Macaca mulatta: one gene and its partners. The protein of the gene in region 6 interacts with the protein of the main gene of each other region in a biochemical or structural test. Links are inferred from orthologs where the notes say so. Each region holds a gene or a part of one and is shown on either strand. Other genes may lie near its edges.

The links.
Region 1: the proteins of UBC (region 6) and USP34 form a complex in vitro, tested with the Homo sapiens proteins (2 studies listed by BioGRID, with this or other methods). The link is inferred for Macaca mulatta from reciprocal best matches to the Homo sapiens genes UBC and USP34.
Region 2: the proteins of UBC (region 6) and TOM1L1 form a complex in vitro, tested with the Homo sapiens proteins (2 studies listed by BioGRID). The link is inferred for Macaca mulatta from reciprocal best matches to the Homo sapiens genes UBC and TOM1L1.
Region 3: the proteins of UBC (region 6) and USP9X form a complex in vitro, tested with the Homo sapiens proteins (5 studies listed by BioGRID, with this or other methods). The link is inferred for Macaca mulatta from reciprocal best matches to the Homo sapiens genes UBC and USP9X.
Region 4: of the proteins of UBC (region 6) and AREL1, one has a biochemical effect on the other in vitro, tested with the Homo sapiens proteins (3 studies listed by BioGRID). The link is inferred for Macaca mulatta from reciprocal best matches to the Homo sapiens genes UBC and AREL1.
Region 5: the proteins of UBC (region 6) and PSMD2 form a complex in vitro, tested with the Homo sapiens proteins (2 studies listed by BioGRID). The link is inferred for Macaca mulatta from reciprocal best matches to the Homo sapiens genes UBC and PSMD2.
Region 7: the proteins of UBC (region 6) and OSBPL8 form a complex in vitro, tested with the Homo sapiens proteins (2 studies listed by BioGRID). The link is inferred for Macaca mulatta from reciprocal best matches to the Homo sapiens genes UBC and OSBPL8.

The regions. Positions count from the first base shown.
Region 1 is NC_133418.1:63,290,838-63,294,896, forward strand, and holds the start of USP34 (ubiquitin carboxyl-terminal hydrolase 34), read left to right. Parts: upstream 1-1,259; 5' UTR 1,260-1,654; coding exon 1,655-1,697; intron 1,698-4,059. UniProt on the Homo sapiens protein: Ubiquitin hydrolase that can remove conjugated ubiquitin from AXIN1 and AXIN2, thereby acting as a regulator of Wnt signaling pathway.
Region 2 is NC_133421.1:55,050,356-55,053,855, forward strand, and holds part of TOM1L1 (TOM1-like protein 1), read right to left. Parts: intron 3,348-3,500; coding exon 3,222-3,347; intron 2,466-3,221; coding exon 2,361-2,465; intron 1,361-2,360; coding exon 1,244-1,360; intron 1-1,243. UniProt on the Homo sapiens protein: Probable adapter protein involved in signaling pathways. Interacts with the SH2 and SH3 domains of various signaling proteins when it is phosphorylated. May promote FYN activation, possibly by disrupting intramolecular SH3-dependent interactions.
Region 3 is NC_133426.1:41,047,346-41,050,845, reverse strand, and holds part of USP9X (ubiquitin carboxyl-terminal hydrolase 9X), read right to left. Parts: intron 1,760-3,500; coding exon 1,417-1,759; intron 132-1,416; coding exon 36-131; intron 1-35.
Region 4 is NC_133412.1:147,882,481-147,886,618, forward strand, and holds the start of AREL1 (apoptosis-resistant E3 ubiquitin protein ligase 1), read right to left. Parts: upstream 2,801-4,138; 5' UTR 2,512-2,800; intron 1,618-2,511; exon of another isoform or gene 1,525-1,617; intron 1-1,524. UniProt on the Homo sapiens protein: E3 ubiquitin-protein ligase that catalyzes 'Lys-11'- or 'Lys-33'-linked polyubiquitin chains, with some preference for 'Lys-33' linkages.
Region 5 is NC_133407.1:96,437,907-96,442,170, reverse strand, and holds the start of PSMD2 (26S proteasome non-ATPase regulatory subunit 2), read right to left. Parts: upstream 2,801-4,264; 5' UTR 2,769-2,800; coding exon 2,634-2,768; intron 2,187-2,633; coding exon 2,130-2,186; intron 1,754-2,129; coding exon 1,589-1,753; intron 491-1,588; coding exon 369-490; intron 180-368; coding exon 1-179. UniProt on the Homo sapiens protein: Component of the 26S proteasome, a multiprotein complex involved in the ATP-dependent degradation of ubiquitinated proteins.
Region 6 is NC_133416.1:132,362,011-132,365,879, forward strand, and holds UBC (polyubiquitin-C), read right to left. Parts: upstream 2,399-3,869; coding exon 569-2,398; 3' UTR 501-568; downstream 1-500.
Region 7 is NC_133416.1:83,717,976-83,722,225, forward strand, and holds the start of OSBPL8 (oxysterol-binding protein-related protein 8), read right to left. Parts: upstream 2,801-4,250; 5' UTR 2,396-2,800; intron 1-2,395. UniProt on the Homo sapiens protein: Lipid transporter involved in lipid countertransport between the endoplasmic reticulum and the plasma membrane: specifically exchanges phosphatidylserine with phosphatidylinositol 4-phosphate (PI4P), delivering phosphatidylserine to the plasma membrane in exchange for PI4P, which is degraded by the SAC1/SACM1L phosphatase in the endoplasmic reticulum.

The DNA of each region.
Region 1 (4,059 bases), on a different chromosome or scaffold from region 6:
AGTCTGCAAAAACCCAACTCTGTGAGAAAGACAAGGAAGAAGGAAGATGATGGCAGAATAGATCTACAATCCTAAGGATCACCTGCTAGTAGGAAACAACTTAAAACAGGTTGGGCAGAATGTTTACAGTATCAACTTCAAGCAGCTGAAAGGTAAAGCATTTGGAACCAGGTGGTTCTGGCATGGAGAGATGGGCGCGCCATAACCTCCACAAAAGCTATCAACAGAATTACTACAGGGCCTTGATAGACACCTGGTTATTATTCAGAGATTATGCACACAATCTTACGGACTTTGCAGTCAGATGTCTATGTAAACACGTTGGACACAAAAATTAGCAAGCAAGGTGTAATTGCGGGCGGGAGGAAAATTCCCTTACAAACTTCAGTTGACTGACCCCTTCACCTGTTCTTTATCTTAATATCCTCGTTATTCGCTCTCAGCTGAGAAGCATTACTTGCTATTTCAGGTGGAGCTGATGGGCACATCGTGAGGGGCCCTCTTCCGTAAAAACGAGGCGATGTTAGGCAAACACTCTTTACTCCGCCATTTCTAGTTACGTCAAGGATCTTACTGCTCCAGGACGGAGGACCTCCAAGGTAATCAGGGTAGCGATAATCACCGATACAGTTAAGCGGGGCCCTGGGATGATGCACTCTCAGACCCCGTGGGGAGTGGCCCTTGCGCCCAAAAGAGAGCAACGGAGTAGGCCCGGCCCGGCACTCCAGTTGACTCCCTGCTTCCCCCACCCCAAAAGCCTGAGCGCGGAAGAGGGGGAACACCAAAGAAACCCGCACCAATTCCCTGACCCTGCCCTGGGGAAAAATGGCGAAGCCCAGGGGCGGGGGACAGGACGGCACGAGTGACCCGGCGCTCGCCGGGCCTCGGAGCCCCTGGAGTTTGTCGCGGTGGGCGACGCCGCGCAACTGCTACCCGTTCGTTGCCTCCGCCATCTTCTCTTACTCACCCGGACTCCCCCCGCGGCCGCGCTGGCTTCGCGTTTCCCTTCCGGCCGCTGACAGAGATCCGGGCTGGGCGGGGTGGGCGAGCGCGCGGAGGGGGTGGACCGAGGGCGGGGAGGCCGGACGGAAGAGGAAAGGGAGGGCGGCGAGCCAGTCACGGCGGGGTGTGGAGCGTGCAGCGTGTGTGCGGAGGGAGAGGTGGGGGGCGGAGAAGAGGCGAGGGAGGGAGGGAGGCGGAGGAATGAGAGCGCGCGGCGCCTCTCGGCCGCTCCTAAGCCCGGGCGGAAAGAGCCGAGCGCAGCCCGAGCGCTCTGTTAAAATGGCGGCGGCGTCGGCGGTGGCCGCGGCGTCTGGTCGGTGAAGTGACTCTGCTGCTTCTCTCCCCACCCGCCCCCTCCCTCCCTCTCCCCTTCCCCCGTCCTTCCCCTCCTTCCCCGCCGCCGGCGCCTCCGCGCCCCTCCGGCCTGCGCACCTCCCCTCGCTCCCCTCCTTTCCCCCGCCCGCTGCGGGGACCGCCGGCCCCCTCCCCCATTCTCTTGCTCCCCGCCCCGTCCCCGCCGCCGCCCGCCCTCGTCGCCTCCCCGCCCCGCCGGCCGGCCAGCCCCCTCCTCCGCCTCTCTCCCCTCCCCCCCGCCGGTCGGGATCAGTCAGTGTGATCCGAAGCGGGGGAGGGGGGGGGCGGCGGCCGAACGATGTGCGAGAACTGCGCAGACCTGGTGGAGGTGTTAAATGAAAGTAAGTAGCCGCGGTAGCGGCCTGTCGGGGTGCACGGTTTGGGGTCCTCGCGCAGCTCTCTGGCTTCCCCGGGCTGCCGCGGCCTGCGGGAGGGGACGGCCGGGCTGGGCGGCGTGCGGGCCTAGCGCCCTGGGAAGGTGCGCGGTGGCGCGGCCGCCGCGGCGCCTCGGGCCCAACCCGGCTGGGTTACCTGGGCGCCCGAGAGGCGGCCGCCGCGGAGCTCCGGCCCGGCCGGGCCCGGGTGCTCTGGGCTCTCGGAAAGTTTTCTCATTACAGGTGTCAATTAATGAAGGCAGTAATGAGACCCTTGCCGCCTTCACCCCTTTCGCCCCCTTCGCCCTGCCAGGAAGGTGCGGGGAGGTGGGGTCGGAGGACGAGGCTTTCCTCCGCAGTCCAAGCCCTCCGGCAGCCCTCTTTGATTTCCAGCGTGCTGCCAAGGCCTCTCTTACCTGTTAATTTTCATTAAACTCCCCGGGAGCAGGGTGGTGGTTTTTCCCTCCCTTGCGGGTGTGTGGGTGTCTTAAACACTTCAGCCAGACCTTAAATAGCTGAAAACGAACTGTGATAGTGATGACTGGAACCTTCATACCTATTTTAAAAATAAATTTGTTAATGATGCTTCTTAGTGTAGCATTCACCGCTTTAATGGTAAATTCTGTTAGGCAGAGCACTGTGCTACACATACCATCCCGGGATAGTTATGGCCTATCTCTCCTGGAAGGAAAGGCCTTTTACCTGATACTTTACTTTCTATTAAAGAGGGTACGTTGATCTTTTCTGGCCTTTTTATTTTATATTTCGACCCTTGCAAGATGGTATTTCAGCTTATAGAAGATATATGTCAAATCACCTACTTCTGGGCCTAAAGGCCTGGTTGGCAAAGGTGAATTAGATGGATCAATTTACAAAAAGTTGGTTGTTGAAAAAATGCTCACTTATGAACAGTTTATGTGGGTTTTGGATTTGTATTCTGTTTGTGATATTTCCACAGATAGACTTTCATACTATCTAATTTTGTAATACAATTCACTCGATTTATAAAATATATCATGGTGTTTGTGTTTGAATTTTACTTTGTGTTTGAATGTCACTTGAATGACCAAAGACAACAATAAAAGTGGAAGGGTTCTAACTCAATTTCAACTCCGTATTTACTTCCTGATAGATGGAATAGGCTTTTGCACATATTCCAACTATTGGTTCCGGTATTTGTGTCACCCTAAATTATCCTAGAATTTTAAGATTATTTGTGTGTATTTTGAGATATTTTTATTTCTGGTGCAGGTGGTTTACGATATGATAAATCTTCAATACTTACTGTATTTTATATATCAGATACAAGTTGTGTGATGATGTTTGTTATGCTCAACTTGGAAAGTTAATAGCTTTGCAATGTAATATGAGGAACAAGTACTTAATTTCGTTGGTGATTTTAAATATATATATATTTTTCCCCCGAGACAGAGTTTTGCTCTTGTTGCCCAGGCTGGAGGGCAATGGCAGGATCTTGGCTCACTGCAACCTCTGCCTCCCAGGTTGAAGCGATTCTCCTGCCTAAGCCTCCCGTGTAGCTGGGAATACAGGTTCCCCCCACCATGCCCGGCTGATTTTCGTATTTTTAGTAGAGATGGGGTTTCACCATGTTGGTCAGGCTGGTCTCGAACTCCTAACCTTGTTACCTGCCTGCCTCGGCCTCCCAAAGCGCTGGGAATACCGGCGTGAGCCACTGAGCCTGGCTGATTTTAAAATATCTTAAACTTGGAAAATTTTAAACAAAACATCTGAAGAAAGTAAAGTTTATTTTTTGAAAACAGGTGGCATCTTGATCATAATGAAAGGTCTTATTTAAGATTATCTGGGAAACCCCTAGAACTTTGGTTAGAAGCACTGAAAAATGCAATGCATTTATGGAGAGTTAGCAATGTGGAGAATTGAGACAGAATTTAGCTTTTATTACCTTTAAGCAAATACAGTTAGTTCAACCGGGTTCACAAAATCTGGTCATGTGCACCCTCTAAGAAACCTGTTTTAATGAATAAGTAAGGATTTTCTATTTGTGTGTAAGCCAGTGCACTCTAAAAATACATAATTTCTTAATATTGCCTTTGAGGCTCAATATAAAAATTTAACTCTTAAACAATAATCTCTCAGTGATGCTTCCTTTTTAAAAAAATTTACAGCCGGGGGCAGTGGCTCTTGCCTGTAATCCCAGCAATTTTCGAGGCCGAGATTGGCGGATCACCTGAGTTTGGGAGTTCAAGACCAGCCTACTAACATGGAGAAACTCCGTCTCTACTAAAAATATAGAATTAGCCTGGCATAGTGGCACATGCCTGTAATCCCAGCTACTTGGGAGGCTGAG
Region 2 (3,500 bases), on a different chromosome or scaffold from region 6:
TAGGGAACAGTAAAATTTCTGAAATATTAAAGTAGAGAAATAACAAATGCAACTAGAAAAAAATATAAATCAAAGGATTAAGAAGCAGAATAATATAATACTTCTATCAGCATTAGTGGGTGTAAAAGAACAATGAAGCAGTATCTTCAAAGGCCTGAAGAACAAGAATTTTGTGCCTAGAATTTTATATCTAGCTAAACTAATCTGCATTTAACATGACAATCAAAGGACATTTTTGGATATGCAAGCACTCAAAGTTTGCACCAAAGTTTACCAACATGGGTGTACTTCAGCAAGGAAAAAACAAACTATTCACGATAGCAGTGATATATAAGAAACATTGTTGGGAAAATTTTTAAAATTTTTTTTGTTTCCCAAATAAGAAATGAGCATGGGAAAAGTTATTTACTAACAATCTAAGAAGTTAAAGGAAAAATAACACATGAGAAGTGGGGAGTGGGAATCTGAGGAAAGTAAAAATATCTTAAGCTTCTTAGTTTAGCAACAAAGGGACTTAGAAACTAGAAACTGATTTTTTTTCTAACTGCTTCTAAAATTAATAAGTTTTAAAATTTTAAATAATTAGAACAGCAAACCAGTAGAGGGAAAAATAAAGTATATGTATACACAGACATAGCAGAAGGCATAGGAGGGCTGTAGAACTACTCATGCAGGTCCAAATGCCCTGTCTACTTGTTCCTCTACAGCTCAAGCACTGCCTCCATCTAGACCATTCCTAAAAACCTCACCTCTCTCCTTCTGCCCACCCATGATCCCACCATACACTGAACAAATTTATATTACAGTATCTATAATACTTCTTTATGTTTGTTGTTTACAAACCAATCTTGCTCATTAGGCATAAATTCTTAAGGACTAGAACAGCCTCCTCCTCATTTCTACATCCCTTCCTATATCACAGTTACTCAATGTTTGTTGAATGGATGAAAATAGAGGCAATTTTTACATACTTAAAACAACTAGAGAATTGATTATACATGACCAAGGTTATAACTTACAATAAATTATTTGTTGCAAGAGGCTAAAATCCACGTCTAAGTCACTACCGCATTTCTGACAAAGTCATTCTTGGATATTTTTGTTAAGTTTAGAAATCAATTGAAATGAGGATGTAGGAGGACGTACTAGACAATATTAAGGTGTCTTCCATCTCCAAAGCTCAGAATTTAGAGAATAACTTTAAGAGACACTTTGACTGATTGTCCCTGAAATCGTACAACACCTGCAGAAGCTCTATGTCTTCATGGTTTTCAGACCCAGGCGTATTCTCCATCAATATGGCGGACATCACTCGCACATTCATTTTCACCATATCCAATTCACTGTGCAATTTTCCAATCTGTAGAGAGCAACACAATCACCAGTCAGTGTGGCACACAGAGAATGTGTTCACATTCCTTGTTTCCTGCCCCCATGGGACATTTGCTGGAAGAAAAAATACTTCTGCAAAATTTAATATTTTCAAACTTAAATTTAATTTCATATAAATATACACATAGTTATTTTACAATGTATACCTTGTCACCTTCTAAAAGGACTTGAGATCTCTTGTAATAAACCCCAAAATATGCTTTAGGAATTTTAAAAATGAAAGAAAAAAAAAAAGGTTAGAACCAAATATGAAGAGGGGAGAAGTACTAGGTACCTAGCAGAAGGAGGTACCAGAAACCTGGATAAAATGGCAAAAGTTATCCTGAGTTTCTTGGCAACCGACAGGATAAAAGAAAAACAAATGAGGGTTATCTAGTTCTCATGGTATTAAAGAAGAAAGAAGAAATAAATCTTTTTCCTGTATTAAATTCTAAGAGGAATTAGTCACATGAATTTTTATATAAGAAAAAAATAATAATACAAAGTCTTCAATTATAGTTCCTTTACAGCGGAACGGAAATGGGCTTCATACAATAATTGCTTATCTGTACCTTGGACAAACTGATATACACAAAGAAGTAAATACAATTCAGTTGGCATAATAAATACAAGTAATAAGACTACCATTTACAAAACTCTCTGAAATATGTGACAGTCCTACCAGAAGTAACAGGAATTAGCTCATGGACACTAGATCCAGTCCACAGTCAAGGCTCCACAAAGCCATGAAAGCCACTAGGCAAGCACAACTCTTACAAAGTTGGGCTTTGGAAGTAGACAGAACCAATGGGATTAATCCTTCTTGGAACTGAACTATAAGTCACATAGTATGACTAAGCCTCAGTCTCTTCCTCTGTAAAATAAATGTACCTACATCTCAATGTTGTTAACCAGAAAGGACAAACTGTATATAAGGTGCTTACAAATCAGGAAAACATATCAATAAATACAGTGATTGCTGTTGTTACCTGTTCTGGGACCAATGTAATAGTCGAGTTCTTTGGAGCAATTACAGAAGAAAGAGCTGGTGCAGTAGGGACAGATGTTGGAGGATTTGATGAGATTTGAGCAGTCTATGAGTATAAAATATGGTAATATTATTATGTGAATTAACATAGCCACCCAACGCCAAGTTTTTTCCATTCAGCTAACTCAAGCACTCTCAAACAAAGTCCTGTGTACAGGGTATCTGCCCGGAGTAAATCATCAACTACACAACCCGTCCAGCATTTTGTGAAGAATGCTAAGCAAATGAGATGCCCATAATAAAGCAGGTATTCAACAAGAGGTGGCTATTAGAATTATCATTTACAATTTAATAAAATGCCTTTTTTTTTTTTTTTTTTTTTTTACCAAGGGTTTAAGTGATAAACTGCCATGTGAGATTATTGATGCCTTCTCTTTGGACTGTTAATAACAAATGATAGCTCAATTCATGTCAAGTCTGTTTAAGCCACAGCTGACAAGGCATCTCCTTCTCCATCAATGACCCTCCTTGGGTCAATGCCACATCTCCAACCTTGGGCGGCGAGGTGAAAGCTCAAGGCTCTAGGCCAGTGCTTCTCAACATAAATGTACAGAGAAAACACCTGGAAATCTTGTAAAAAGGGAGGTTCTGATTAGTCTAGGGTGGAGCAAGCCAAACAAACTTTCACACTTTAAGTAGCAAAATCCCAAGTCTCGGTTATTCTATGAGATATTGCAATATCCTTCTAATAAATTCATCTTTTTGCTTAAGCTTAAGTGGATTTGGGGTTGTCTCTTGCAATGAGAAAAGACCCAACTGATATACTACTATACTCTCCATGGGTCAAAGAAAGGCCTCTTACCTCTTGTCTTGCTGTTTCAGCCTCTGCTTCTGAGGGAGGAAACTGAACGCCTTTCTTAAGCAGGTCGAGGTATACTTCTTTGACTTCGCTTACATCCACACCTCCTGGGAAACCCTGTGACCAAGCCTGAGTTCAAGAGATGAAAACGTTCCAGAGTTAAAACAGCAACAAAACCAAAACACAATTCTTTTTTTTTTTTTTTTTGAGACAGTCTCACACTGTTGCCTGGGCTGGAGTGCAATGGCACAATCTCAGCTCACTGCAATCTCCACCTCCCGG
Region 3 (3,500 bases), on a different chromosome or scaffold from region 6:
GATATATGGAAGTTTTAATGCACATCAATCCTCACCTGATTGACTTGTAGTCTTGGACCAAGGTTTGTGTATATCTCTTTGAGGAGATCTATAGCTCTGCTGGCAATATCATCATTACTCTGAATCACGACCTGGTTTCAAAATGATAAAAGTATTCACCCCTTTCAACATATATTTTTTTGGGCATTTAAATTCAAACCATATCCTCAGTTATCTTAAATACACTATTCAATTATTTAATGGTAAGTTGACTTTGATAATCAAGTAAAATTAAGTGAGAAGCACAGACCAAAAGAAAGGATAATAAATGCAAAATGAAAGTCTCCGAAAAAAGTAATTTGTTTAAGAATGAAAGGTACATTTTTGTAAAAATAAAATATGCTTTGACCACTATTATTTAACCCTATAATTTAATATCTTGATAACCAAGTCAGACACTCAAGAAGAAATTCAAATTAGTTGACAGGAAATAAGAGATTACATGAAACACAGTTTAGCATAAAGGACTACTCTACCCCCAGTTTCTATAAATCTTTATCACTCATCTAATTACATTAGTGGTTTCCAAACTATGTTCAGAACCTTAGAGGACTTTGAGGAAGTCTTTCAGTGTTGGCCCCTATAAAAGGGTTGGGGAGGGGAAAGGGGGTAAGCATGGGGAGACCAAGTAAGAAAATATATTTTTTTGTTCAATTCAGTATACATTTTGTAGAGTGGTGCAAATTTTGATTTTTAAGATGTGTTTCTGCTGTTAAAACAATGTTGAAAAACCACATACTTAATGAAAAGCTTTTAAATACTCAAATGCCACAGTAAACATCTTCATCTATGGTTTGCAGGAAAAAATTTCAGACATCCAAACAACAATATAAACTGCTGTATAACAGGTCAGACTTTTAAAGATAGGAATAATACACTAGTACTATAAAAATAGAAAGATTAGCCTTAAAAAGATAGTATTTTATTCCCCCAGCTATTTAAAAATATCACAAGGTAAACAGTGCCAATAAAGTATATACTCATAATCTATACTAAACACAAATCCTCTCTTCTGTCCTCTATTTTAGCGTTAAACATTGAAGAGGAGGAAACAGATCGACACTGAATGAAAAATTGGGAAGGAACAATATCCACGGGGAGGAATGGAAGATTTGTATGTTTAGTGCACATCTATGGAATACACAGATACTAAGCTAAGACAAAAGGAACATCAGTGGCAGGAGGAGGGAGAGGAAGAGAGAAGAAAAAGCCCACTGACAAGTGATATAATAATAAAAATGAACAATTACTAACTACACCAAATTCCTGAGACAAACATCACAGTAAAATACACAATTTATATGTGAAATTATAATTCCTTATGTATATGAAAAAGTACATCAGACACTGTTTACAGAGTTCCTACTTTTGACTTACCCTCCAAAGGTAATCTAATCCTATTAACTCCAAGTCATCCATCATATAGGCTCTCCTTTTTGCTACTAGTTTTCCTTCTCGACAATTCACAGCTTTGAAGAATCGCTCAAAACACTTCATTCCATTTTCAGTTAACAGAGAAGGATCAAGCTGAAGCACATTACTTTCAAAGAAGTCCTTATTAATATCAGGATCTAAGTCTGGTTCATCCCCCATCAATTTGGAATACCACTTAAAACAGGCTTCACGATCACAAAGGTAAACTGCATTCTCAGCTAAGCATTTCCATATTTGTTTTGCCTGAGGAGCACATAGCCACAGTTGGCCATCCTTCAATAAAAATCTTGAAAAAACATAAAAAATTGGCAATTAGATTTATGTAATTTTTATCCTGAAAGGCAATCTATATTATCTATAAAATACATTTATCACCATTATATTTTAACTATAGATAAAAAGATATTCATTTTCAAAATAGCCTATTTTTCTACTTTTATCTGGTACTAAAAAAAATCCCCACTAGATATTAATTCAACAAGCACACACTGAACATCCACTTTGTGCCTGAAATGCAGCTAGCTGAATTATGAATAAAAGATTCGTTCCCTGAACTTTTAACCATTTAGTCTTTGAAACCAGACTTTTGGAAAGAAGGACGTTTAGTAGCTTGAGTTAAAAATAAAAGACTTCGGCTGGGCACAGTAACTCATGCCTGTAATGACAGCACTTTGGGAGGCTGAGGTGGGCGGATCACCTGAGGTCAGGAGTTCGTGACCAGCCTGGTCAACATGGCAAAACCCCATCTCGATTAAAAATACAAAAATTAGCTGGGTGTGGTGGCTCGTGTCTGTAGTCCCAGCTACTGGGGAAAGTGAGGCATGAGAATCAATTGAACCTGGGAGGTGGAGGTAGCAGTGAGCCAAGACTGTGCCACTGCACTACAGCCTGGGTGAGACTCTGTCAAGAAAGATAGAAGGAAAGACAGAAAGAAAGTCAGAAGGAAAGAAAGAAAGAAAGAAAAAGAAAAATGAAGAGAGAGAGAGAGAAAGAAAGAAAGAAAAAGAAAGAAAGAGAGAAAGAGAGAGACTTAGCATCCTGCTTATATGGCATCATTGAAAAATGAGGTATTCAATTAAGTGACTTTCACAAATAACTAATCCATCAATACTTATGAGTTAAAACTGCTTACATTTTCAAAGCTTTTCCATTTTTTTGTTTTATTCTAAAGATGGCATAAACCCTTCTTCAAATGAAAATCCCAGTTGGAATCTGATATATATATAAAAACTATAGCTGCTCCAGTTGCCGGGAGAGGAAAAAGAAAGGAAAAAACCGGGAAACTTCCTACTGCTTGTTCAGAAATCTTCAAGGAACTTAACTCAGAAGCCCTAAAGCTCCTACATAAGTTTGAAAAACTACTGGTCTAATAGGAAGAGCACAGACTTAAGTAAAAGAGACCTAGTTGAGTAGTGCAATTCCATCATATACTGGCTGTGAGACTTCAAACAAGCTACCTGAAGCCACTGGAATCCTGGGTTTCTTATTGATCAAATGGGAGTAACACTTGCTGCACTGTGTTGCTTCAGAGTAAATATAAAGTGTCTGGCACAGGCCCAACACACAGCAGGCATTAAAGTCAGGTTCCTCTCCCTTGAGTTGGTTGCTATAGCTCACATACAGAGGTACTAACAGAGTAGAAACTACAATAGTTTCTCGGATTCCAAACTTTAAAATGGCAAAAGGGCTTGAAACCACTTTTCTGTTCTAGTAAACCTAAGGGACATATAACACACGCCAATCAGTAACGACTGCTTACTATGGCAGTAACTCTCAATGTGGGGAGGCAAGTCCTTCTACCCAGGTGGTTAAAAACAAAACACACAGAAAAAAAAAATTCACTTTAAACCAGTGCCAAATTTCTTAAAATTTGGTTGAAGTTTTTCCTAAAATTAAAATCATCATATAGCTACTTAAAATTTTATCCATAAATAAGCACACAGTTCAATAAATAGAAATCCGTAATTAACACAGCCCAGGACAAAACTCCCCAGAATGTTATTAAAATAAATGGGGCCAGGCACGGT
Region 4 (4,138 bases), on a different chromosome or scaffold from region 6:
AAATCTTCCCTAATACTAAATTTAGAAATTCCTTTCCTCTTGTGAATTTCCATAGAACATTGTTTTTATTTATCTTATAGCACTTTTATTCTTTTTTTTTTTTTTTTTTTTGGGACGGAGTTTCACTCTTGTTGCCCAGGCTGGAGTGCAATGGCACCATCTCGGCTCACTGCAACCTCTGCCTCCAAGGTTCAAGCGATTCTCCTGCCTCAGCCTCCCAAGTACCTGGGATTACAGGCATGCACTACCACGCCCAGCTAATTTTGTATTTTTAGTAGAGATGGGGTTTCTCCATGTTGGTCAGGCTGGTCTCAAACTCCTGACCTCAGGTGATCCGCCCACCTTAGCCTCCCAAAGTGCTGGGATTACAGGTGTGAGCCATCATGCTCGGCCTAGCACTTTTATTCTTTTAGTCTCGTTTTTTCATTTTAGAGTGGTTATGAGTAGTCTTAAAAATCCTCCAGGCTGGGCATGGTGGCTCATGTCTGTAATCCCAGCACTTTGGGAGGCTAAGGCGGGAAGATCACTTGAGCTCAGGAGTTTGAGACCAGTGGGACCTCATCTCTACTAAAATTTGAAAACAAATTAGCTGGGCATACTAGTGCACACCTATATCCAGCTACTGGAGGCAGGGAGGGGGCTTGAGGCAGGAGGATTTCTTGAGCCCAGGAGGTTGAGGCTGCAGTGAGCCCTGGTGGCACCACTGCACTCCAACCTGGGCAACAGAGTGAGACCCTGTCTCCAAAAAAAATGCTCCAAAGAAACCAACATAATTGCATATAGTAACTTCAATAAATATGAATAAGATCAAATGTCTGTCCTTTTCTTTGTCCAGAATGCCTAAGGATCAGGAATTTTCCAGATGGGATCTTCCTTGTAGACAGAGCTTGAAAGGATTTCTCTAATTAACAGTGTACTCACTTGAGCCGTTTATAAGTTCCTCAACCTAAAAGTTGCCAATTTAATTCAGTTCAACGAGCAGGTATCAAATGCCCACCACTGGGGTTGCAGATTCCCATGCATGGTATTTTTCTACAGCAGTTTCTACGGCACCCTTTACTTTTTGCTATTCATATTTTTCTGTATGAAATTATTTTGGAACTTTCCCAAGTCTAATTCCAGCACAAACAAGTATATAAGGCTCTACTGTACTATTTCATCCAATTGTTATGAGTATTTTGTGTGTTTTCAAGTTCCTCTCTTTAGTGTCCTTGACCTTTATAAATATGGCATACTGTGATACTTTAAGCTAGAAGAAAAATGTGACAGTAGTAAATTAACAACTTTCTATCTGCTTATCGAGTCACATATCACAGGCCGAACATTGCCTTCAGTGCTTTACATATGTTAGCCTAAGTAACTGTCACCACAACAACTTGGTAAGATGAATACTATCATTCTCGTTTTATGGATTTTTTTTTTTTAAGCTGGGCTTAAAGTTGCTGAATATCTCACATTGGGATAAGTGACAGAGTTGAGATTCAAGCCTGGCTGGAAAGCCTAACAGGGCATGGTGGCTCATACCTGTAATCCCAGCACTTTGGGAAGCCAAGGCAGGAGGATCACTTGAGCTCAAGAGTTCGGAACCAGCCTGAGCAACATGGCAAAACCCCGTCTCTACAAAAAATACAAATAAAAAATTAGTCAGGATGTCATAGTGCACGCCTGTAGTCCCAGCTACTTGGGAGGCTGAGGCGGGAGGACTGCTTGAGACCAGGAGGTCAAGGCTGCAGTGAGCCATGATTGTGCTACAGAACTCCAGCCTGGAGACAGAGAAAGACCCAGTCTCCAAAAAAAAAAAAAAAAAAAAAAAGCAAAAGCCTGTGTCTAACTCTGAAGCTCAATGCTCTTAACCTCTACAGTGAATCATGAAAAAGAATAAAGTCATAAGGATAGTGAAGTATTTGGGGAAAAAAAGATTTACGAAAACAGGTAAAACAAAGTATGAGAAACACTATCCAATCTTACTGTGAGGAATCTCAAAGCAAAGCTAAAATTAGAAAGATAAACTCTTATGGCTCTTTTTTTAATCTTTTGAAATATAAATAAAGCATGACAAAGAAAAGTGGAATGCAATGCCAATTCTCTAGTGCAGAAATATCACTTGCTTACGAAGGATCCTGGTCTGGTTGCTTAATACTATAGCATTTTGGCTCACATTACCTACAAAAGGGGAAAAAGACTTGAAAATATCTGTCTCAAGGGACTGTTAGAAAGTTGATTAACATACATATTTTAAAATCCTCTGCTTTTTCGGAGCATAAAGATTTTTAATTACAATAGCAACTAAATTTTAGCCCTAACATTGAATATCAGTTGTGAAAAAGTCGTTTCCCAAAAATGGAGAACTGGTTTCTTCATATTTAAAAATGCTCTGCTGGGGACAAAGTCAATTCTCACTGCAATTGTATACTTCAACAGCTATCCCTTGCTGAAAAGGCTTAGGAACTGCTCACTGGATCCATGTTCTACATCCCAATAACTAAAGCTCAACTCAGTCTATTACCTTACCTTTAAACGAGGGCCCATGTTCTGAGAACCAAGTAGAGCACTCCTATTCACCAAGGCAGGTCACTTTTGGCCCCTTTCACCTTGTCTTCCAACTTCCACATGAAAGAAAAACGCCGCAAGGTCAACAGAAAGGGTCTATCCATCAGACTTTGTCACAGTAACCAGGTCAGTGTTTCTGGGATGAACTGGATGAATTCCAGGGTAGAGAAATACAGCCCAAGAATATATCATTCCTGGACTTCTCTCTAGTGCAGGGTACAATCGGCTGCCAAAGGATGCCCCAGGATCCTGTCCAAAAAAGAAAATAGGGTTAGTTGGAACAGGTTTTTATTTGCGAAAAAGATTCCCCAGAAAAAAAACAAAGAGAAGGTACAACAGGCAGTGGAAATCGAGACACTAAAAATAACCAAGAATTAGTAAACTCTGACCAAGCATTCTCAATTAAAACTCCACACAGTTTCCTTGAGGCCTCTGACTCCACAAGAAAAGTCAACTGGCAACCTCACTGTCTATAACTATTTCTTCAGCTGAGAAGTGCCAGAGCTTCTTTCAGTTCAGTGTCCCCAAATACTTCCCTATCCTTATGACTTTATTCTTTTCCATGATTCAGCATAGAGGTTAAGAGCACTGAGCTTCAGAATTAGACAAAGGTTTTGGTTTTTTTGACAGGGTCTTTCTCCGTCACCCAGGTTGGAGTGCAGTGGCATGATTACAGCTCACTACAGCCTTGACCTCCTGGGCTCAAGTGATCCTCCCGCCTCAGCCTCCCAAGTAGCTGGGACTACAGGCATGCACTACCACACCTGGCTAATTTTTTATTTGTATTTTTTGTAGAGACGGGGTTTTGCCATGTTGCTCAGGCTGGTCTCTAACTCCTGAGCTCAAGAGATCCTCCTGCCTTGGCCTCCCAAAGTGCTGGGATTACAGGTGTAAGTCCATTCTTCAGTAGAAGCAAACTAGGCCACAGACTTAAAGAGTAACCTTCAGCACAACCACATACCCAGTTTGAATATAATGGGGCTGCAGCACAGGGTCTGGAGCAACCACAAAGACAAGTGAGATGAAAGCACAGACAGAACTGGGTTACGGAGGGCCTTATATGCCATGATAAGGAATTGAGACAATATTCAGCTGGAAAGGAGAAACCTCCAAAGAGCTTTAAAGCCCAATCTATCAGCCTATGCAGTCTGCTCCCTTCGTGCCCACATATGCATTTCCAAGACATGCTTAAATAAAGTTGATTTTATATTTAAAACAGTAAAACCTGCTACTACGAGTCAGGGGAAAATCTGTGAACTTTCAAAATAAAGTCACTAAATAAAGTGCAGTGAAGTCAGTTTATAACTCTCAAAGATATTCATGAACCAAAAATGTAGCAGAAAGGGGGTTTATGGCAATGCATACACAAACAGCCATCATAAGACAAATGAGAAGAGACTACTAATTAGTAAATGTAGAGACAGTCTTACCATATGGCAGGAACTGTTCTCAGTACTTCATACACACAAACTCACAGATACAATTATCCCTATTTTAACACAGATACAATTATCCCTATTTTACAGATGAGGAAACTGGGACACAAAAAGGTTAAAGTCCTTTTCCAGGAAAACACACAGTGAGTAGT
Region 5 (4,264 bases), on a different chromosome or scaffold from region 6:
CCTTCTCGAGCATGTCCACCTGCTCAATTTCCATAAGCAGGTCACAGGCCTCATGCTCTGCATTGTGGGCCATGTTGTAGGGGACAATTTCCTTCACCAGAGTGAGCAGTGGCTCCCGCTGGACCTTCTCCGCGTCATCCAGCTCCTGCCACTCCTTAGCCACTTCTCCTGCCAGATGCCTACAGATACGCCCAGACGATTAAGGGAGCACAGCTTCAGGGGAAGCACTTCTCTGTGGGTCAAGGAATCCAGTGTCTGGGAAATTCAATACACTGATACTCCAAGACAGATGGTTCTCCACAAGAGAATTCTGAATTATCTCAGAGCCTCAGAGGCCCCCTTCAGATTCCCAAGAAGAAAGATCTTACCTGACATACTCATGACCCCATGATGCCAATTCCTCCTGGGAGCCCACTAGCCGATACTTGAGGCACTCGCGCTCCCCACTCATGGTCATGGCCAAAACAGAGATGATGTCAGCAGCAAAACGCTATAAAGAAAACAGTCCTTTGAAGTCAAACCCAACAGTCCAGCATAAAGGGAACATGCCTTGTGGAATCAAGATCGTTATCTCCAAAATTTAACTATTAACTATATACCAATCTCTGTACTAGAAATTTAACACGTTATCTAAGCTAAACCTCACAAAAACCAAGGTTGGTGTTGCTATCTCCATTTTTTTTTTTTTTTTTTTTTTGAGATGCAGTTTCGCTCTCAGGATGGAGTAATGGAGTGCAATGGTGCGCTCGGCTCACTGCAACCTCTGCCTCCAGGGTTCAAGCAATTCTCCTGCCTCAGTCTCCTGAGTAGCTGGGATTACAGGTGCCCACCACCACACGCAGTTAATTTTTTTTTTTTTTTGTATTTTTAGTAGAGACAGGGTTTCACCATGTTGGCCAGGCTGGTCTCAAACTCCTGACCTCAGGTGATCCACCCCTCGGCCTCCCAAAGTGCTAGGGTTACAGGTGTGAGCCACCACACCCAGCCACTATCTTCCTTTTAAACTAACACAGCTGAAGGGTGATAAACAAGGGATAATGTGGAGAAAAATGGAGGCTCTCAATTTTACTTTAATGGCAATTATAAACGATTAAAAGGTTTTAAGCAGAAAAGACCCATAACTGAGAAAGATCACAATAGCTGCTACATAAGAGACAGACTGTGTAGGAACAAAGGACAAAAGCAACATCAGTTAAGCGGTGCTGCAATAGCCCATGCGAAAACTGAACATTTCCAGGATGAGGGTTGTACCAGCAAGCACAGAAGTGACTGAATGTGGAACATATTTTAGAGATAAATGAATGTGCATGGGATAGAAGGAAAGAGAAAAACCAAGATTAAACATAAGTTAAAAATAAACCATTATAATGAAACCCCAAAGTCCAACACAAATAACAGAAACGGTGTCTTCTGAGAAGTTGATTTTCCTTTCAGCTCTTTTATGGATATTTTGACTGTGATGAACTCTGCTCAAATAGATCAGGGCTTAGGTCTATCAGGCTGCCTGTGACTCACAATGAGCCCCCCCATGGTCTGGGTAAAAAGGAATTCCTAAACTAGGCCTCCACCAGGTTTGAAACTGTTTTACCTTATTCTCCCCAGGGGCCATGTTCTCATAGATTTCCTTCAGTTTGCCATAGTGTGGACGCAGAAATTTGAGAGGCTTGGGCACTGAAGTCATGGAAGTTGTAGAAGAACGAATTTGCCTTCGCAATTCCTCCAGCGCTGGTCGATACAGGGATGTGTCCTTCTCCTGATCAAGAGAAGACAGGGCTCAGACAAAAAGGAGTCACACCCCTTCAAGTCATAATACAGAGATATTTAACTTAACAACTCCTCCAAGGAAATAGCCGTGTCTTATTCATTCATCTGTGATTCCTCAACTCCCTGCACCCTGCCTGGCACAAAAACAAATGACCCAAGTTAAGAGTTAAGAACTCTGCTTCTCCCACAAGAGAAAGCTGCAAAACTGCACGAATACCCTTTGTAACTCTCCTGCCTCCCAACATCATCATAACACTGACTCTAAAATACAGTCCACCGCACACAGCAGTTGCCTCAAAACAGAATAAAACAAACAAGTGGGAAAGATCCAAACATGTCCGAATCGTGTTAACATCGTGACTCACCCCCAGTCGTTCCACGAGCATCTCCAGTTCATCTTGAAGCTGTTTGTCCTCCTCAGACTGGAGGGTTGGGAGAAGCAGCTCATTAAGAGAAGGAATCCCAAAGACGTCCTCCTCCCACTTACCCGGGGCAGGTGGAGAATAAGCCTGCCTTCTTAGGAGGGGCCAGGTGGGCAAGGAAACAGTGGGAATAGGAAGCTCTGGTGGGAAATCAGCCTGGGTTCTGAACGAGGCTCTACTTGAAAGCCACTCTAGGAAACGGAGGTGACAATGACCCGCCCGAGTCCACCTCACGCGGCGGTGGTGAGGGTTGGTGGAGACGGCGGAGGTGACAGCGCGGAACGGAGAATGAGGAGCAGAGAGGCAGGGTGCCGGGAGTCCCGAGGGTCGCCCCAACCGCCCTCTCCCTGGTGCGGTGGGGTCGTTGGGTGTCGGGCCTGAGGCCTGTGGAGCCGCCGTGACTCAGCCCCGCGGCCTCCTCCGCCGGCTCTTGGGGTCGCGCCTCACCAGCTCCTGTTCTTTGTCCTTGTCCCCAGCATCCCGCCGCTCCTTGCCGCTTGGCTTCTCGTCCGTGCCGCCGGGGGCCGCCGCTGGGGGCTGCTGGGGCTGCACCGGCGCCTTGTCCCGGCCTCCCTCCTCCATCTCCGCCGCCACTGCCGGCCCGCTGCGCGCGCACCCGCTCGCACCGCCCTTTTTCCCAGACCGCCTCGCGCGCGTCGGCCGCGGCGCCCCTCCTCCTCCAGAGGCCACCCGCGACCGGAAACGCCGGGGCGAGCCGGGGGCGCTCGGCGACCCATCCACCCACATGGCCTGAGAGCCCCGCCCCCTGACCCCGCCCTCGGAGGCAGGCGGAGACTACAATTCCCAGCCTCCCTCGCGCCATAGGCACTCCTGGTCCCCGACCTCTTCGGAGTTTCCTGCATCCAGCGGGACTTCGCCGTGTGGCGTTTGGGTACGCTCGCTGCCGTAGATGGGCGGTTTGCGACCCGAGATACCGAGTTTTCCTTGGCCATAGGTTTTTCTCATAACGGTGTAAATAGAACCCACAGTGACACTCCAGTTGGCTGCGTGGCGCGACAGACAAAGTAGATTTCTTGAAGTCCAGGACGCTTGATTGCCGCCTGTATAAAGTCTGTGTAACTGTGTCTAGCCCACTGTGAAATATTAACTTCATTTGTCTTTGTTATTGTTGTTGTTGCTTTTGAGGAGACTCGCTGTCTCGCCCAGGCTGGAGTGCAGTGGCGCCATCTCAGCTCACTGCAACCTCCCCATACCGAGTTCAGGCGATTCTCGTGCCTCAGCCCAATAGCTGGGATTACAGGCGCCCGCCACCAAGCCCAGCTAATTTTTGTATTTTTTAGTAGAGATGGGGGTTTCACTATGTTGGCCAGGCTGGTCTCGAACTCCTGACCTCAAGTTATCTGCCTGCCTCGGCCTCCCAAAGTGCTGGAATTACAGACATAAGCCACTGTGCCCGGCCTGGAACTGTGTCTTATTCATCTTTATGCTCCTAGCCTCCAGCCTAGTGCCTGGCTTGTGGTAGGCCTTGATAAATGTTTGCAGAATACAGGCATGCGTGAATGAATGAATGAATGAATGAATGAATGAATGAATGGCTTTGTATTCATCTTCAGGCCATCTTTGTGTATAATAATGACCCACTGGGGGCTGTCTTTGGAGGCTAGAACTAGGCATTGGAAAATCATCAGGTTTCTACATTTGCGAATCATGACAGACCCACTAAAACTTTTTTTTTTTTGAGATGGAGTCTCCCTCTGTCGCCCAGGCTGGAGTGCAGTGGCGCGATCTCGGCTTACTGCAACCTCCGCCTCCCAGGTTCAAGCGATTCTTCTGCCTCAGCCTCTCAAGTAGCTGGGGATTACAGTCACGTACCACCACGCCTGGCTAATTTTTGTATTTTTAGTGGAGACAGGGTTTCACCGTGTTTGTCAGGCTGGTCTCGAACTCCTGACGTGGTGATCCGCCTGCCTTGGCCTCCCAAAGTGTTGGGATTACAGGTGTGAGTCACTGCGCCCGGCTTATTAACCTCATTTGATATTCTTACTCAGTTGAAAGAGAGTACTCTGCTATTCCCGTGGCTACCATTTTAAATACTTTGGGGAGCCAGGTGGAGTCGA
Region 6 (3,869 bases):
CCCACCACTCCCACCTTTTAAAATTCCTTCTTCCTGGTGTTCCGGTAATTCTCCCATTCTCTTACCTCACACATCACCCACAAACCAGTATTTTTAAAGTTAACTTAAGAGTTAAATCTACATATGTAAAATACTTCCATCTCCCAACAACTTTTTTGTCTTGCTGTTCCCCCAGCGGGAGGACAGTGGCACTCAGATCACAGCAACCTCCGCTTAATTGGTTCAAGGGATTCTCCTTCACCCTCCCATGTAGCTGGAATCACAGACACTCACACCTGCCTTTTTGTATTTGCAGTAGACATAGGGTTTCACCACATTGGCCAATCTGGTCTTGAAGCCGGCTTTTATTTGCACCCACCTTCTACAGTTCGTACTATATTAAGGTCAACCCCTTCACTGACATTTCACTGTTACCACAGCAACATTTGTAAACTGAAAACCTTGATCCCCTTCACCCAGTCTAATGCAAAATAACCTTAACTTTTAAAAAACCACACCAGTTGGGAATGCAACAACTTTATTGAAAGAAAAGTGCAATGAAATTTGTTGAAACCTTAAAAGGGGAAACTTAGACACCCCCCCTCAAGCGCAGGACCAAGTGCAGAGTGGACTCTTTCTGGATGTTGTAGTCAGACAGGGTGCGTCCATCTTCCAGCTGTTTCCCAGCAAAGATCAACCTCTGCTGGTCAGGAGGGATGCCTTCCTTGTCCTGGATCTTTGCCTTGACATTCTCAATGGTGTCGCTGGGCTCCACCTCAAGGGTGATGGTCTTGCCAGTGAGGGTCTTCACGAAGATCTGCATCCCACCTCTGAGGCGGAGCACCAGGTGCAGGGTGGACTCTTTCTGGATGTTGTAGTCAGACAGGGTGCGCCCATCTTCCAGCTGTTTCCCAGCAAAGATCAACCTCTGCTGGTCAGGAGGGATGCCTTCCTTGTCCTGGATCTTTGCCTTGACATTCTCAATGGTGTCGCTGGGCTCCACCTCAAGGGTGATGGTCTTGCCAGTGAGGGTCTTCACGAAGATCTGCATCCCACCTCTGAGGCGGAGCACCAGGTGCAGGGTGGACTCTTTCTGGATGTTGTAGTCAGACAGGGTGCGTCCATCTTCCAGCTGTTTCCCAGCAAAGATCAACCTCTGCTGGTCAGGAGGGATGCCTTCCTTATCCTGGATCTTTGCCTTGACATTCTCAATGGTGTCGCTGGGCTCCACCTCGAGGGTGATGGTCTTGCCAGTCAGGGTCTTCACGAAGATCTGCATCCCACCTCTGAGACGGAGCACGAGGTGCAGGGTGGACTCTTTCTGGATGTTGTAGTCAGACAGGGTGCGCCCATCTTCCAGCTGCTTTCCAGCAAAGATCAACCTCTGCTGGTCAGGAGGGATGCCCTCCTTGTCCTGGATCTTTGCCTTGACATTTTCAATAGTGTCACTGGGCTCCACCTCGAGGGTGATGGTCTTGCCAGTCAGGGTCTTCACGAAGATCTGCATCCCACCTCTGAGACGGAGCACGAGGTGCAGGGTGGACTCTTTCTGGATGTTGTAGTCAGACAGGGTGCGCCCATCTTCCAGCTGCTTTCCAGCAAAGATCAACCTCTGCTGGTCAGGAGGGATGCCCTCCTTGTCCTGGATCTTTGCCTTGACATTTTCAATAGTGTCACTGGGCTCCACCTCAAGGGTGATGGTCTTGCCAGTGAGGGTCTTCACGAAGATCTGCATCCCACCTCTGAGACGGAGCACCAGGTGCAGGGTGGACTCTTTCTGGATGTTGTAGTCAGACAGGGTGCGCCCATCTTCCAGCTGCTTTCCGGCAAAGATCAACCTCTGCTGGTCAGGAGGAATGCCTTCCTTGTCCTGGATCTTTGCCTTGACATTCTCGATGGTGTCACTGGGCTCCACCTCGAGGGTGATGGTCTTGCCAGTGAGGGTCTTCACGAAGATCTGCATCCCACCTCTGAGGCGGAGCACCAGGTGCAGGGTAGACTCTTTCTGGATGTTGTAGTCAGACAGGGTGCGTCCATCTTCCAGCTGTTTCCCGGCAAAGATCAACCTCTGCTGGTCAGGAGGGATGCCTTCCTTGTCTTGGATCTTTGCTTTGACGTTCTCGATGGTGTCACTGGGCTCGACCTCGAGGGTGATGGTCTTGCCAGTCAGGGTCTTCACGAAGATCTGCATCCCACCTCTGAGGCGGAGCACGAGGTGCAGGGTGGACTCTTTCTGGATGTTGTAGTCAGACAGGGTGCGCCCATCTTCCAGCTGCTTTCCGGCAAAGATCAGCCTCTGCTGGTCGGGAGGAATGCCTTCCTTATCTTGGATCTTTGCCTTGACATTCTCAATGGTGTCACTGGGCTCAACCTCAAGGGTGATGGTCTTGCCAGTCAGGGTCTTCACGAAGATCTGCATTGTCTAACAAAAGAGCCAAAAACCACCACCATTTAGCAGACAATGTACTAATCTTCCTAATACTTAAACTATATGTTATATTCACCCAAATGATTACAATTTAAAAGATACCTAAGAAACTTCACAAAATACACTCGCCAACCCCGAACGCATAGTTTAAAACTCAGACTTCAGCTACTTAAGAAAATAGGAACATAGAACTGACCAAAGAAACTGACGCCTCACTTATCCCTCCCCTCACCAGAGGTCAGGCCCCTGTCGACTCAGGAGGGCCTACCCTAGGCCCCAACCCTGCGTCCTGCGACGAAGAAAAGCCTACTGCACACCTACCGGCAGGTGGCCCCACCCCACATTATGAGCCAACAGAACGGATGACGTCACGACACTGCGAGGGCGCGCGCTCCTCAAGCTACGGGTGCACTGCCAAGTGGCACCGCCATTAACTGCCGCCCCCGCAACAGACGACAAAGCGAGTTCTCCGGTCAGTGACAGACTTCACATCAAGGTCCCCAAATGGTGCCCCAGCCCACCTCACCAGAATAAGAGCGTTCCCGCATTAGCGAAAACCTCAAGGCCTTGGGTTCTTGCCGCAAACCATGCCCCCCACCTTGTTTCAACAACCTCACAGCCCGCCTCACAACCGTCTTCCATTCAAGAGCCGGGAACAGCCGCCATTTTGCTGCGCTCCCCTCCCACCCGCTGCTCAGGGGCACCTTGCTCGCGGACCCAGACTACAGCCCTCGGCGGCCTCTCATCCCGCGGCGTCGGCCCCCCTCCATCCCACCGAGCGGCCCAGCGGCCACGAAAGCCATGGCCGGCCCAGCAGCCCTCTGCTCACCAAGTGGCGATGACACCGACACACAAACAAGAACTGCGATCCCACTCCCGGCTGCGACGGAACTAGCTGCGCCACACCCGGCGCGTCCTTATATAGTCATCGGCGTTCACCGCCCCAAGGAAATTCCTCCGCAGAATCGCCGAGAAGGGACTACTTTTGCTCGCCCGTTCCGGTCTCTGGAAAGAAAACCAGTGCCCTACAGTCACCCAAGTCCCGTCCCAAAATGTCCTCCTGCTGAGACTGGGGTTCTGGGACTGAGTCTGGTGGGCAGCGGGCCGCCGTCCTGAGCGCCCAAGCGGAAGAATCAGGGCGCTCGCTGCGCCCTGCGGCCATGACGTGGAGGCGCTCGCCGAGAGGAGGGGGCGTCCGCGGGAGGCGCCAAAACCCGGTGCGGACTCTGCGGCGCCAGGAGCGGGTGGGCAGCCCGCGTTCCTCAGCCGCGGCCCCTCCCCTCAGCCCCCGCGGTCCCCTCGGGTCGCGAACCCCGCGTTCGGCGGACGTGGGGCGCGGACGGAGCCCCTCCCGCAGAGTCGGGGTCTCCCTCCCCTCCCTCGCGACCCGCCCTGGCCCACCCCGCGAGACGGACGGGTCTTTATTTTTGGGTCACATTTGAGATAATGACGGGGCTTTCTT
Region 7 (4,250 bases), about 49 Mb from region 6:
TTTTATTCAAGTTGTGTTTGTCTTATTTGCAGTTCATTATTTGTAACATTAAGACAGGACCTATTCCTCTTTGAATTGCCTGATGCTCCAAGAACATTGCTATAAATGTTTTTAACTTTCGATATAATACCAACATTACAACATGACATTTCAGGTATTGTTATTAGGATTAAAGTTTTCCAAATTAATATCAGAAAACTAAATCTATGTACTGTATCAATTCTTTGTCTTTAATGCCTCAATTCAAGAAATCTGCTTTTGAAGGATTATTTACAAACCAAAGCAAGTTGAAATGTACTAACACTGGTTAAAATTCTGCAATTCATACTTTTAAACGAAAGATCCGCTAGGCACAGTGGCTCATGCCTGTAATACCAGCACTCTGGGAGGCTAGGCAGATGGATCTTGAGGCCAGGAGTTGGAGACCAGCCTGGCCAACATGGTGAAACCCCATCTCTAATAAAAATACAAAAATTAGCCTGGCATGGTGGCGCGCACCTGTAATCCCAGCTACTCAGGAGGCTGACACATAAGAATATCTTGAATCCAGGAGGCAGAGGCTGCAGTGAGCCAAGTTGCACCACTGCACTCCAGCCTGGGAAACAGAGTGAGACTCTGTCTAAAAAAATAAAAATAAAATTTCTTTTGTAATGCATATTTTACAAATTCATAATTTCATCATTTTTCTTAAAACAAACTAAAACATAACTTCATTATACACAATTGTAAATGTATCCCCAAAGTGTAGTCTAAACCTTTCAATTTTTAAATGAACCAAGAAACTGAATATTAACAAATGTATAAGTACCCTGAATGTGTTATAAAAAACATATTTGACTGCCTTTAAAATGCAATAACATTCTAACTGGAAAATATAGTAGCATCTTTCCACAGATCAGAGATTCAATAACTATTATGATCCAATCAAAGAGAAATAAACCATGGCCATTTTTAATTAAACAGGCATTTCTAAGCACCTGTGTACACGGTATTGCTGTTCAAACGGTTGACATGGAATGTGACCGCAATACCTTGATGTCCATAATTAAAGACCCAAAAGGTAGCTTAAGTTTCATCTATTCCCTTTCTCAGCTCTTTGAACAGGCATATTATAGTCACTCCATAAATGGTTAATATCGAAAAAAAATAAGTTACAAACATTTGAAATTAGTTGTACTTTCATAGAGAACAGTTTTAAACCGCATGGCCTTACTCTTCCTTTTCCAACCTATTTTATAAAACTAGCATGATCTTAATAATTTCACTGCAAAACAGGTTCTAGCAAGCATAGAAACTGATCATAGCCTCTCAGCATGAGCAAGTTTAGATGAAACCCTAGAAAATTAGCAAAATCTAACAATCAATTCACCCACGATTCTCCACAATTCTTGCTCTCTCTAGATACAAAGGGAGGCAAAAACTGTTTTAAATGATTATTTCAAAAGCAGCACTAATTTGGGGAAAAACTTAACTGCCATGCAGGAGACACTGTGTTACTACTCAGACGTCATTTAAGTCTTCCAGCAGCAGAAAGGGAAAAACATCATTAAATTTTTTATTTAATGCATATATACTTACATTATCAGTTAAAGTTTACCCATCTGTTTACCTAGTACAAGTTACCTATTATTTCAGAAAGCATTTAAATAAAATGAAATTAGGTTACGTTCTGCAACGCAGATGTGTCTCATAAAGAGGGTTAAATGACTTTTGTGAATGGAAAATCTGCATATACTGTTGCTTCGCCTCAGCCAGTCTTGAGTGGGTGGTTCAATGAACCTAAAGCATGCTGCATGTGAAGCTCCTTGGAACCTGACTCCACTCTTGAGAGAGGGCTTAGAAACAAATTTAAAAGCACAGCAAAGGCTTGGCTTTCCTCCTACGTTACAAGAAGGCCGGGAGAACTGAGGCTTAGGGGAACACACCGTGTCGCTCGGCTCTGCAAAGGCGGGTGTGGTCTGCGGTGCGCGGCACAGCCTCCTCTGGGGCTGTCACAGGAAAAAAGGAGCCTCGTCTTAACCGCACCAAGCGACAAAGCGCCAGCTCTCCTGGGCGCGGGGGCTCCCAACGAGACCCATGCCATCGACCTATCAAACTTCAGGAGGGACAGACACCCGGGGCAGTCGAAATGCTCCAAGAGCCTCCCACCCCCGTTCCCCTGCCGCGGCTTTTGTAAGGCTGCAGATGCACCTACCGTGGGCCCCGAAACACTCCACCCCGCCAGCCTTTCTAATCCCCCTACTCCAAAATGGAACAAAGGAGCCAAAGAACTCCTCGGCGCGGGTGGCCAGGAGTCCCCGACAGCCCGAGCTCAGAATGTGGCAATAAGGGTGCGCAGTCGCTCTGAGGGGTGCGGACCCAGCACCCCCACCTCAGGAATGGAGCAAACACTCACCCGTGCTGAGCTCCCAGGGAGGCGGGACGCAAGGAGCCGGTTCCTCCGGAGTCGCGGCGGCGCCGGGGTCCGGGGCCCCGTACGCGTCTAGTCAGACCCCAACTTCTCTCGGCCGCTGTCGTCGGCGGCAGCTGGGGCGCGAGCCCGGACGGAGGGCGCTGCCCAGCTGCCGCGGAGGCACTGCTGGCTCAGCCTCCGAGCGGGGCGGGTACTTTCGGCCCCGCGGTCCACCGGACAGGGCGGACCCCCACCTTCCCTCAGAGTCGGCTTGTTACCGGCAGCGGCTACTGCGGAGTCCAAAGCTAACACTACAGCCGCCGCCTGACCAGGAGCGCGTCGCGGCCTAATGTTGTCATCCGCCGCGTCGCCGCCTTTCTGGGCACCCAGAACCGCCAAGATCCTTCACATTCTAGCGCCCTCCCACTGCCCAGCCCGCCCCTAGGATCACGGGCTTCGGCCACGCCCTCTTCCCGTCACGTGACGGTGCCCGGATACAGAGGTGGAGTTGCTTACCCTGCCAGGCGGGCGCGAACAGCGCGGGAGCCAGTGTCCACCTTGCTTCGCCAGGGTGTTATCGCCAGCCAGTCCCCTTCCGCATGCCCAAGGGCAGCCTCAGGAAGCGAGCCCACCAAAGGTCGGCCCAGCGCCTGTTGATCGGCCAGGCCTTATGGGCGGGTCGTACCGGGCCCTTCTTGGCCTGAGGAGATTGCACAGTAGGGCTCCCTGGTCTGGTCAGGGCTCAGTTAGTACCCCTCTCCTTTTTAAGGCTTGGTAAAAGCTTTAGCGAAACAAAGAAAAAAGAACGCATCGTAGAGTGTCTGGCCTAAGAAGCATTCCGTAACTACTTGTTCCTATTTCTAGTGGCACATTAATCGTGGCATTTGATTCACTGCTTCCCTCATTAGAGGTTTTTTTTTTTTGAGGAAACGGTGTATTTCAATCACGCTGGGATGAAAACAGCCTAGCAAACTTATTTTTATTCCTTCTTGTGTTCAGGATCCTGCTGCCAATTTTACAGTCATTAAGTTTTACAGTGTGTTAGGTTGGTGACAGTTTAAACGGGTACACAGGAATTTGACAGTTGGTTCCATTTTTAAAATAAAGCCTAATTCTTGAATTTTTTTTCTAATGCCTTAACTTTTTTTCCTAATGGCTTAACTCTAGGACTTAACCTTTTGCTTTCTTTTTTAGCCATGATCCGAAGAACCCCTCTAGCCGCCTAATGAAATAACTATACAGAAGTAAGGGAGGTAGAATAGAGAAAGATCATACTCAAACCCTGATCACAATGAAGGCAAATGAGAAAGCTTTCTGTAGTAATTAAACTGGGGTCGTAACTCATTTTCCCTTGTAGCCCAGAACTAAGGATTTTTTCTTAAGCTATTCTCATCTCATTGCATTTTCTTAACAAGAAGTCAGAAGGCATTCTGATAAGTTGGATACATTGAAATGAATAAGCAATAGAGTTCGGCCTATATAATCCTTATTATTGATATATTTCATAGCAGCTCTAAAAAAATCATAGACTTACATTGTTTTATTTTACCCAAGAAAGAAAACAAAGGCTGCCAATGGAACTATGCCATACCACTGTTAAGTAAGGCACCTTTAAGCCACATTTTTTTTTTTTTTTTTTTTTCTTTGAGACAGGGTCTCACTCTGTCTCCCAGACTGGAGTGCAGTGGCGCCATCTCGGCACACTGCAATTTCCGCCTCCCAGGCACAAGTGATTCTCCTGCCTCAGCCTCCGGAGGATCTGGGATTACAGGCATGCACCACCATGCCCAGCTAATTTTTGTATTTTTAGTAGAGAGGGGATTTCACCATGTTGGCCAGGCTGGTGTTGAACTCCTGA